Linked DNA regions of Saccharomyces cerevisiae S288C. The protein of the gene in region 1 binds, or shares a complex with, the protein of each later gene. Each region holds a gene or a part of one and is shown on either strand. Other genes may lie near its edges. A codon is read from its position in the direction of its gene.

Region 1 (3,135 bases):
GTTGGCTCCCCCTTTGCCTGCTGTTGATGGCTTTCAAGAACCTCCAATTCCCTCAGCACCTGCAATAGCTACTGCCGTGCAAAAATCGGGTTCTTCCACCCCAGCTTTAGCTGGAGGCGTTTTGCCTCCACCCCCACCTTTACCAACTCAACAAGCTTCCACTTCAGAACCTATTATCGCTCACGTTGATAACTACAATGGTGCTGAAAAAGGCACGGGCGCATATGGATCCGATTCTGATGATGACGTTTTATCGATTCCTGAATCAGTTGGTACAGATGAAGAGGAAGAAGGGGCACAACCAGTTTCTACTGCAGGTATCCCATCAATTCCACCTGCAGGTATTCCTCCACCCCCACCCCTTCCATGAAGATTTAATTTGCTTTCTATAGATACGTATGTATACTAATTTCTGAAAGGATGTAGAATTACAAATATGATATTGATTATTTTTTTCTAGGCTATATGAATATAAGATATGCGATGAAAGAAAAAATTATTTAATTTGGTTGGTCCTTTTTAGCCAAAATGAGTTTCTCAGCATTGTTCTTCGAAACTATATCTCGATCCAATTCTTCCTTTACAGCTTCATAGTATTTTTGTAAACTCCTTTTTGGCCTATAAAAAGTATGATCAATTTTGAGGGCTCTACCGCCAATTTTAAATCCATTTAAATTATCGACTGCTAGAATCGTTGACCGTTGATCCTCATATTTCAAATATGCAAAACCTTGCGATTCTCCTGTGTTTTCATCCCTGCTAAGAATTACATCTACAGGGACTCCATATTCAGAAAAGACTGTCAATATGTCACCTTCTGTTAATTCTCGGTTGAGATTTCCGATATATATATAAGCATTATCCTTATATTCATTATGCCATGATTGATGCGGGCTAAGAATTCCACTTTGTAGTTCTTTATCGTTGATTTGCTGAATTTTGTTCATTGTTATTTTGTTTATATTATCTATGTTCTTGATCTAGAATTGCACGCTGCACTTTTTGAGTTGTATGAGTAATTAATGTTCGGCCTATTTTTTTTTATCTGTATTAATCTCAAAAAATTCCTAAACCCAGAAAGGTAAAAGAGCTTATCATTTAAGTGTGGCATAATTCTCCAGCCATAACCACTTCCTTATCACATAAATTATCATTGTCACTGAGTTCAATCACTTCTTTATTGTTCTATTGTCTTTCTTTCAAGAATAGAATTATCAGTATTAGTGTGATCTTATATACATTATATTATATTGAATACAGATAATAAAAAAAAGTGAATTTTTGAATTTTTAATATACAAGAGATGATTGCTAACTTCATGTATGTCTCTTCTTTTTTGTAGCTTCTGCTACAAGTTCTTCAAAGATCTGTGCCTCTTCTTGTTCGACTTTGGTTCTGAAAGTTTTCTTAAAGACTTCACCCAATAGTTTCATTGCTTCAGCTCTTCTGATAAGCGTTTTCTTACTTACCGAGTCATCTTCTAGTACTTTTTTACAAACGCCACGTAAAGTGGATGTTATTTCATATTTAGAACCATGCCAAGCAGCCGACAATACTTTGCCCATCAATAGCTGCTCTTGCTGCGCCAGTTCCTCAGTGGTTGGCTTAATTTGCTCATTTCCGTCTTTGTCAAACAAAGGCTCATTATTCGTGCTAGCTTCTTTCATTTTTTCAAGCTCCTTCATAGTATTCTGAGCGTCTATGGCTGCCGAAACAGTTCTTAGTGTATCCATAAATACTCCCCCTTTAGCCTTCATAGAATGAAATATACCACCCATTCCGAACAGGTTCTGGGATGCAAGAAAAATTTCAGCTTTTTCGTAGTAAACGTCGCCTATTGTGTGTAATATGTCCAGACCAAATGATTCCATCTTTAAAAGATTGGCTTCCTCTTCGAACTTTTTTTTAAAGGAATCTTTACATGCATCATCATAGACACTTTCTGTTAATATCGATAATCTTTCAATCAATGTTTTGCTTAATTGGTCTACTCTTTTTTGCTTTTCTACCTCTTGTTCTTCCTCAAACTGCTCTAATTTTGTCTTCTTCTTCTTAGCTTCTGCTCCTACCTGCTCATTTTTCTTGTTTCCATCGTGTACAGTTAAATTACCAGAAGTTGTCCTCGCCTTATTTTTGTCATCTTTTTCGTTAGTATTGCCCAATGCTGCATCAACAGCGTTAGTGGTGCCATTCGTCTTACCGTCTGCAGGTGATTCTTCCATTGTTTCCACATTCTCCTTCTCCTTTTCAGCTTCGTCTTCAGCATTTAGCTCCTCAGTTTTCTGTAGGTTCTTTAATAGCATCAGTTCGCCAATATATGAGGCAAACGCATCTCCACCAAAGATGACAGAGAACTGTTCAGCTGCATCTTCAAAGCCGCCCTGAGGAATAGCTTCTTTTCTTCCATACTTATCATACTTTGCGCGAAGATCATCGTCACCTAAAACTTGATAAGCTTCGGATATTGCTTGAAACCTTTCGGTAGCCGTGGGGTCATTGGGATTCTTATCAGGATGCTCTTGAATAGATTTCTTTCTATAGGCCTTTTTTATTTCAATGGAAGATGCAGTGGTAGACACACCTAACAAATCGTAATACTCAGTATCAACAACCATATCTTTTGTATAATGCCCCTTCTGGCCGCAAGAAACACTTAATGATTTAGCATAACTCTGTTATTCCTCTTGTAAATCTGCCAATTTGTTCAGTACGCTCTGCTTCAAAATAGCACAAAATTCAGGGTGTGCGGGTAAAAAAAAAAAAAGTCGAAGAAATATATATATATATATATAGAATAAAATCTAGTTTTTATGCCATTATTATTAATAACACCTCTAGTTTGCTCGTCATTCACATATTTCTCTCTTGATACATACTATAGAGTTTATTCATACATATTATTTATAAGATTCTAAAGGGAGTGAAAAGACGCTTCTTCTGAATGTAAGGCAGAATCAACGTCTTCGTAGCCACCTGAGAGTTCTCTTTCCATATCAACCTCCATTTGGTCCTCCATCTGCTGTTCCTGTATTTCTGTCGTATCGTTTTGATCTCTGTTGGCGATGGCCTCCGATGGGGACAGAGATTCCTCACTTATGGCTTTTCTATTACCTACGGCGTTCGTCTGTGGCAACT
Region 2 (3,533 bases), on another chromosome or scaffold:
AGGGTGATAAAATCGGATTTCTACTGAGTCTTCCTAGCATTCATACACAAATCAAACAAGCTAAGGAGTTTACCAAAAGAAGAATTTTTGCACTGAACTCCCATATGGATACGATGAATGAACCATGGAGAGAAGATGCTGAGAATGGGCCTTCAAGGAAAAAATTAAAACAAGAGACAACGAACAAAGAATTTCAAAGGGCGCTATTAGAAGATATTGAATATAACGACGTCGTCCGCGATCAAATCGCCATCAGGTATAAGAACCAGTTGTTCTTTGAGGCAACGGACTATGTAAAGACAACGAAACCGGAATATTATTCTTCTGATAAGAGGGAAAGGCAAGACTATTACCAGTTAGAGGATTCATATCTTGCTATCTTTCAAAATGGTAAGTACCTAGGCAAAGCATTTGAAAATTTAAAGCCGTTGTTACCACCGTTCAGTGAGTTACAATACAATGAAAAGTTCTATCTTGGATATTGGCAACATGGTGAAGCTCGTGATGAGTCCAATGATAAAAACACAACCAGTGCCAAAAAGAAAAAGCAGCAACAAAAGAAAAAGAAGGGATTGATACTCAGAAACAAATACGTAAATAATAACAAACTGGGTTACTATCCAACAATCAGCTGTTTTAACGGTGGAACAGCGAGGATAATTAGTGAAGAAGATAAATTGGAGTACCTCGATCAAATCCGATCAGCTTACTGTGTTGACGGGAATTCAAAAGTTAACACACTGGATACATTGTACAAAGAACAGATAGCTGAAGACATAGTATGGGATATAATCGATGAGTTGGAGCAAATTGCCCTACAGCAATAAAGCAGCATTCAAAGAAGAATAATTAAAACACACTGAAAGTGTGTTTCTTATATATGGTTATACATTCATGAAGATGAGTTCGTAATCGTTATCTTCTTCAAATTCTGAAAGTGTAAGGACGTCACCACTTCGTAGCTCTATATATCTCGCTCCAGGAATTACAACGTTGTTCAAACATGTCCCATTGGACGAATCCAAATCCATTACATAACATTTCAAAATGCCACGAACGTTCCTGAACTGGATGACGCAGTGCTGCTTTGAGGATGTTTCTTCGGGTATACCAATGTCTGCGACAACGATCTCCGTTCTATCGTCGAGATCTGTATCCAGACTGTGGCCCAGTTCACGACCGACTAAATAACAGCTCCTGCCGTTCAAATCGTATCTTTTCCACGGTCCTTTATCCTTGTCATTCTTTCTGTATATCACTAGTTCATACATAGTCCTATCTCGCGCCTCCAGTCCTAGCATATCCATGTAGTTATCTGGAGAAATAGCGTCCTGCGGCTCCACATGTTTTAAAGCTATACCTTCTTTGTTATTCGACTCCAGCTCTAACAGACCGGAAGGGCTGAAGTCTGGCATAATATCGATGTACTGCGATTTGAATTTCTTGTCATCATGGCCATAATTTCTGGTGTTATAAGGTCTTTTGCGTCTGTGAAACATGTCTATACGCAAATGGAGTCGGAAATGAAGTACACCATGCTTGCTGTGGCTTTTACGTTATACCAAGGCTTCTATTGTAGGACGCCTTTATTGTCAATTATGTGAAAAGAAAGCAAAAAAAAGAAAAAGAAAAATGAAAAAAGATGAACGTGTGAATGAAAAAAAACTATTTCGAGATGAGATGAGATTAAATGAACAGGATTAAGAATACATTTTCTGTTGCTAAGAGATTAAAACTAAGCAAAGTTATGACGAACTCAGAATTACCGAGCATATTCGAAGGAACTGTTGATTTAGGGATTATTGGTGGTACAGGTTTATATAACCTTGACTGTCTGGAGCCCATCGCTTTGCTTCCACCCATGGTAACACCATGGGGTACCACATCGTCTCCTGTCACAATCTCTCAGTTCGTAGGAACTAACAGCCACTTTCACGTTGCGTTCATAGCCAGACACGGTATTAACCACGAATACCCACCCACTAAAGTCCCATTTAGAGCAAACATGGCGGCCTTAAAGAACTTAAATTGTAAAGCCGTTCTTTCTTTTAGTGCCGTGGGGTCTTTACAACCCCATATAAAGCCTAGAGATTTTGTGTTACCACAGCAAATAATCGACAGAACTAAAGGCATAAGACATTCTTCATATTTCAACGATGAAGGCTTGGTAGGTCACGTTGGTTTCGGACAGCCGTTCTCTCAAAAATTCGCAGAGTATATCTATCAATTCAAGAACGAGATAACAAATCCTGAATCCGAAGAACCGTGCCATTTGCATTACGACAAGGATATGACCGTTGTGTGTATGGAAGGCCCACAATTCTCCACGCGCGCTGAATCCAAGATGTACAGAATGTTTGGTGGCCATGTTATTAACATGAGTGTTATTCCAGAAGCCAAATTGGCGCGTGAGTGTGAGCTGCCTTACCAGATGATTTGTATGTCTACCGATTACGACGCATGGAGAGATGAGGCAGAACCTGTTACCGTAGAAACCGTTATTGGTAATTTGACGAATAATGGGCGCAATGCAAATATTTTAGCTTCTAAGATCATCGTCTCAATGGCCAAGGAAATCCCAGAGTTCATGCATACTGGCGATGGGCTGCGCGGTTCCATCAAGAAATCTATCTCTACCAAACCAGAGGCTATGTCCAAGGAAACCTTAGAAAGACTAAGATACTTATTTCCAAACTATTGGTAATGGTTGCCGCTAATCATATGTAAAATATAAATAGGAGAGAAAACATATATAGCTATGGAAAGTATTAAATGTTTTTTTGCTGTTTTTATATTTTCCCCCTTGGGGACTGTGAGTTCATCATATATGCATATTTGCTACTTGGAATGTAGCCCTTCCTAGTTACAGGGGTATGCGGCGAGTTATTGTCATTGTTAGCGCTCACTAATGTGCTACTGATACCGCTATGCCTCTGCAGTGTGCCAAATACATTCTTTGTGTGTAAGGATTGAGATTGTAGTTTCGTCTGTTCCTCCGCCATTTCCCTTTGTCTTGCTTTCAAAGGCGTCTCTAAGCCTTTGAAGAGATATGCTGGATGATTTTTGAGATTTGTTTGAGGAATATGTGTTTTGTTCTGTGCCATTTGGCTGATCTTAGAAGTGGATACGTAGTGGGGGTGTTGTGGCTGCAACCCAGTATCGACAGATGATTGCATGTCTACCCCCAGGAGCTTCTTTTGCCTGTCAGTGAGATTCAAATCACTTACTTTGACGGTGGATAAGAGCTTCCAAAGAGAAAACAGTATATTGAGCGAGATTAATAGGTGGAACAAGTAGTCAAGAAGTTCTGCATTCAACCAACTGAACGTGGTGTGATATATGATGTTAGCCTTCTTTAACGTGTGAAATGTCAACATGTACAGATGGATTCTGGATAGCCGGTTGCAAAACTGTCTCCCAACATGAGTGTTGTTCCAAAAGAACTTGATGAACTTCACCAGCAGGTTCCAGAACGCAAACGCAATTACGTTTGTCATAATTCTCTGCGTCTCCATTTCCTTGTTTACCGTTCG

Evidence for each region.
Region 2: the proteins of IST3 (region 1) and PML1 are in contact, whole or in part, in an NMR structure (PDB 2MY3), measured with the Saccharomyces cerevisiae proteins. Residues at the interface, in NP_012270.1 of Saccharomyces cerevisiae: Asn39 (codon at 833), Glu41 (codon at 827), Leu42 (codon at 824), Thr43 (codon at 821), Glu44 (codon at 818), Gly45 (codon at 815), Asp46 (codon at 812), Leu48 (codon at 806), Val50 (codon at 800), Val60 (codon at 770), Arg64 (codon at 758), Asp65 (codon at 755), Glu66 (codon at 752), Asn67 (codon at 749), Lys96 (codon at 662), Ile97 (codon at 659), Gly98 (codon at 656), Gly99 (codon at 653), Lys117 (codon at 599), Tyr118 (codon at 596), Ala121 (codon at 587), Val122 (codon at 584), Glu125 (codon at 575); in NP_013116.1 of Saccharomyces cerevisiae: Ser23 (codon at 1,433), Tyr25 (codon at 1,427), Ile26 (codon at 1,424), Asp27 (codon at 1,421), Ile28 (codon at 1,418), Met29 (codon at 1,415), Pro30 (codon at 1,412), Asp31 (codon at 1,409), Phe32 (codon at 1,406), Ser33 (codon at 1,403), Pro34 (codon at 1,400), Ser35 (codon at 1,397), Gly36 (codon at 1,394), Leu37 (codon at 1,391), Leu38 (codon at 1,388), Glu41 (codon at 1,379).

What each region holds. Positions count from the first base shown.
Region 1 is NC_001141.2:362,701-365,835, reverse strand, and holds IST3 (U2 snRNP complex subunit IST3), read right to left. Parts: upstream 948-3,135; coding exon 501-947; downstream 1-500. Other genes in the region: actin cytoskeleton-regulatory complex protein PAN1, read left to right, coding at 1-370; DJP1 (Djp1p), read right to left, coding at 1,317-2,615; AIM21 (Aim21p), read right to left, coding at 2,912-3,135. UniProt on the Saccharomyces cerevisiae protein: Required for pre-mRNA splicing and spliceosome assembly. As part of the pre-mRNA retention and splicing (RES) complex, required for nuclear pre-mRNA retention and efficient splicing. Required for MER1-activated splicing.
Region 2 is NC_001144.5:175,918-179,450, forward strand, and holds PML1 (Pml1p), read right to left. Parts: upstream 1,500-3,533; coding exon 885-1,499; downstream 1-884. Other genes in the region: BRE2 (Bre2p), read left to right, coding at 1-827; MEU1 (S-methyl-5-thioadenosine phosphorylase), read left to right, coding at 1,691-2,704; POM34 (Pom34p), read right to left, coding at 2,790-3,533. UniProt on the Saccharomyces cerevisiae protein: Required for efficient splicing and pre-mRNA nuclear retention.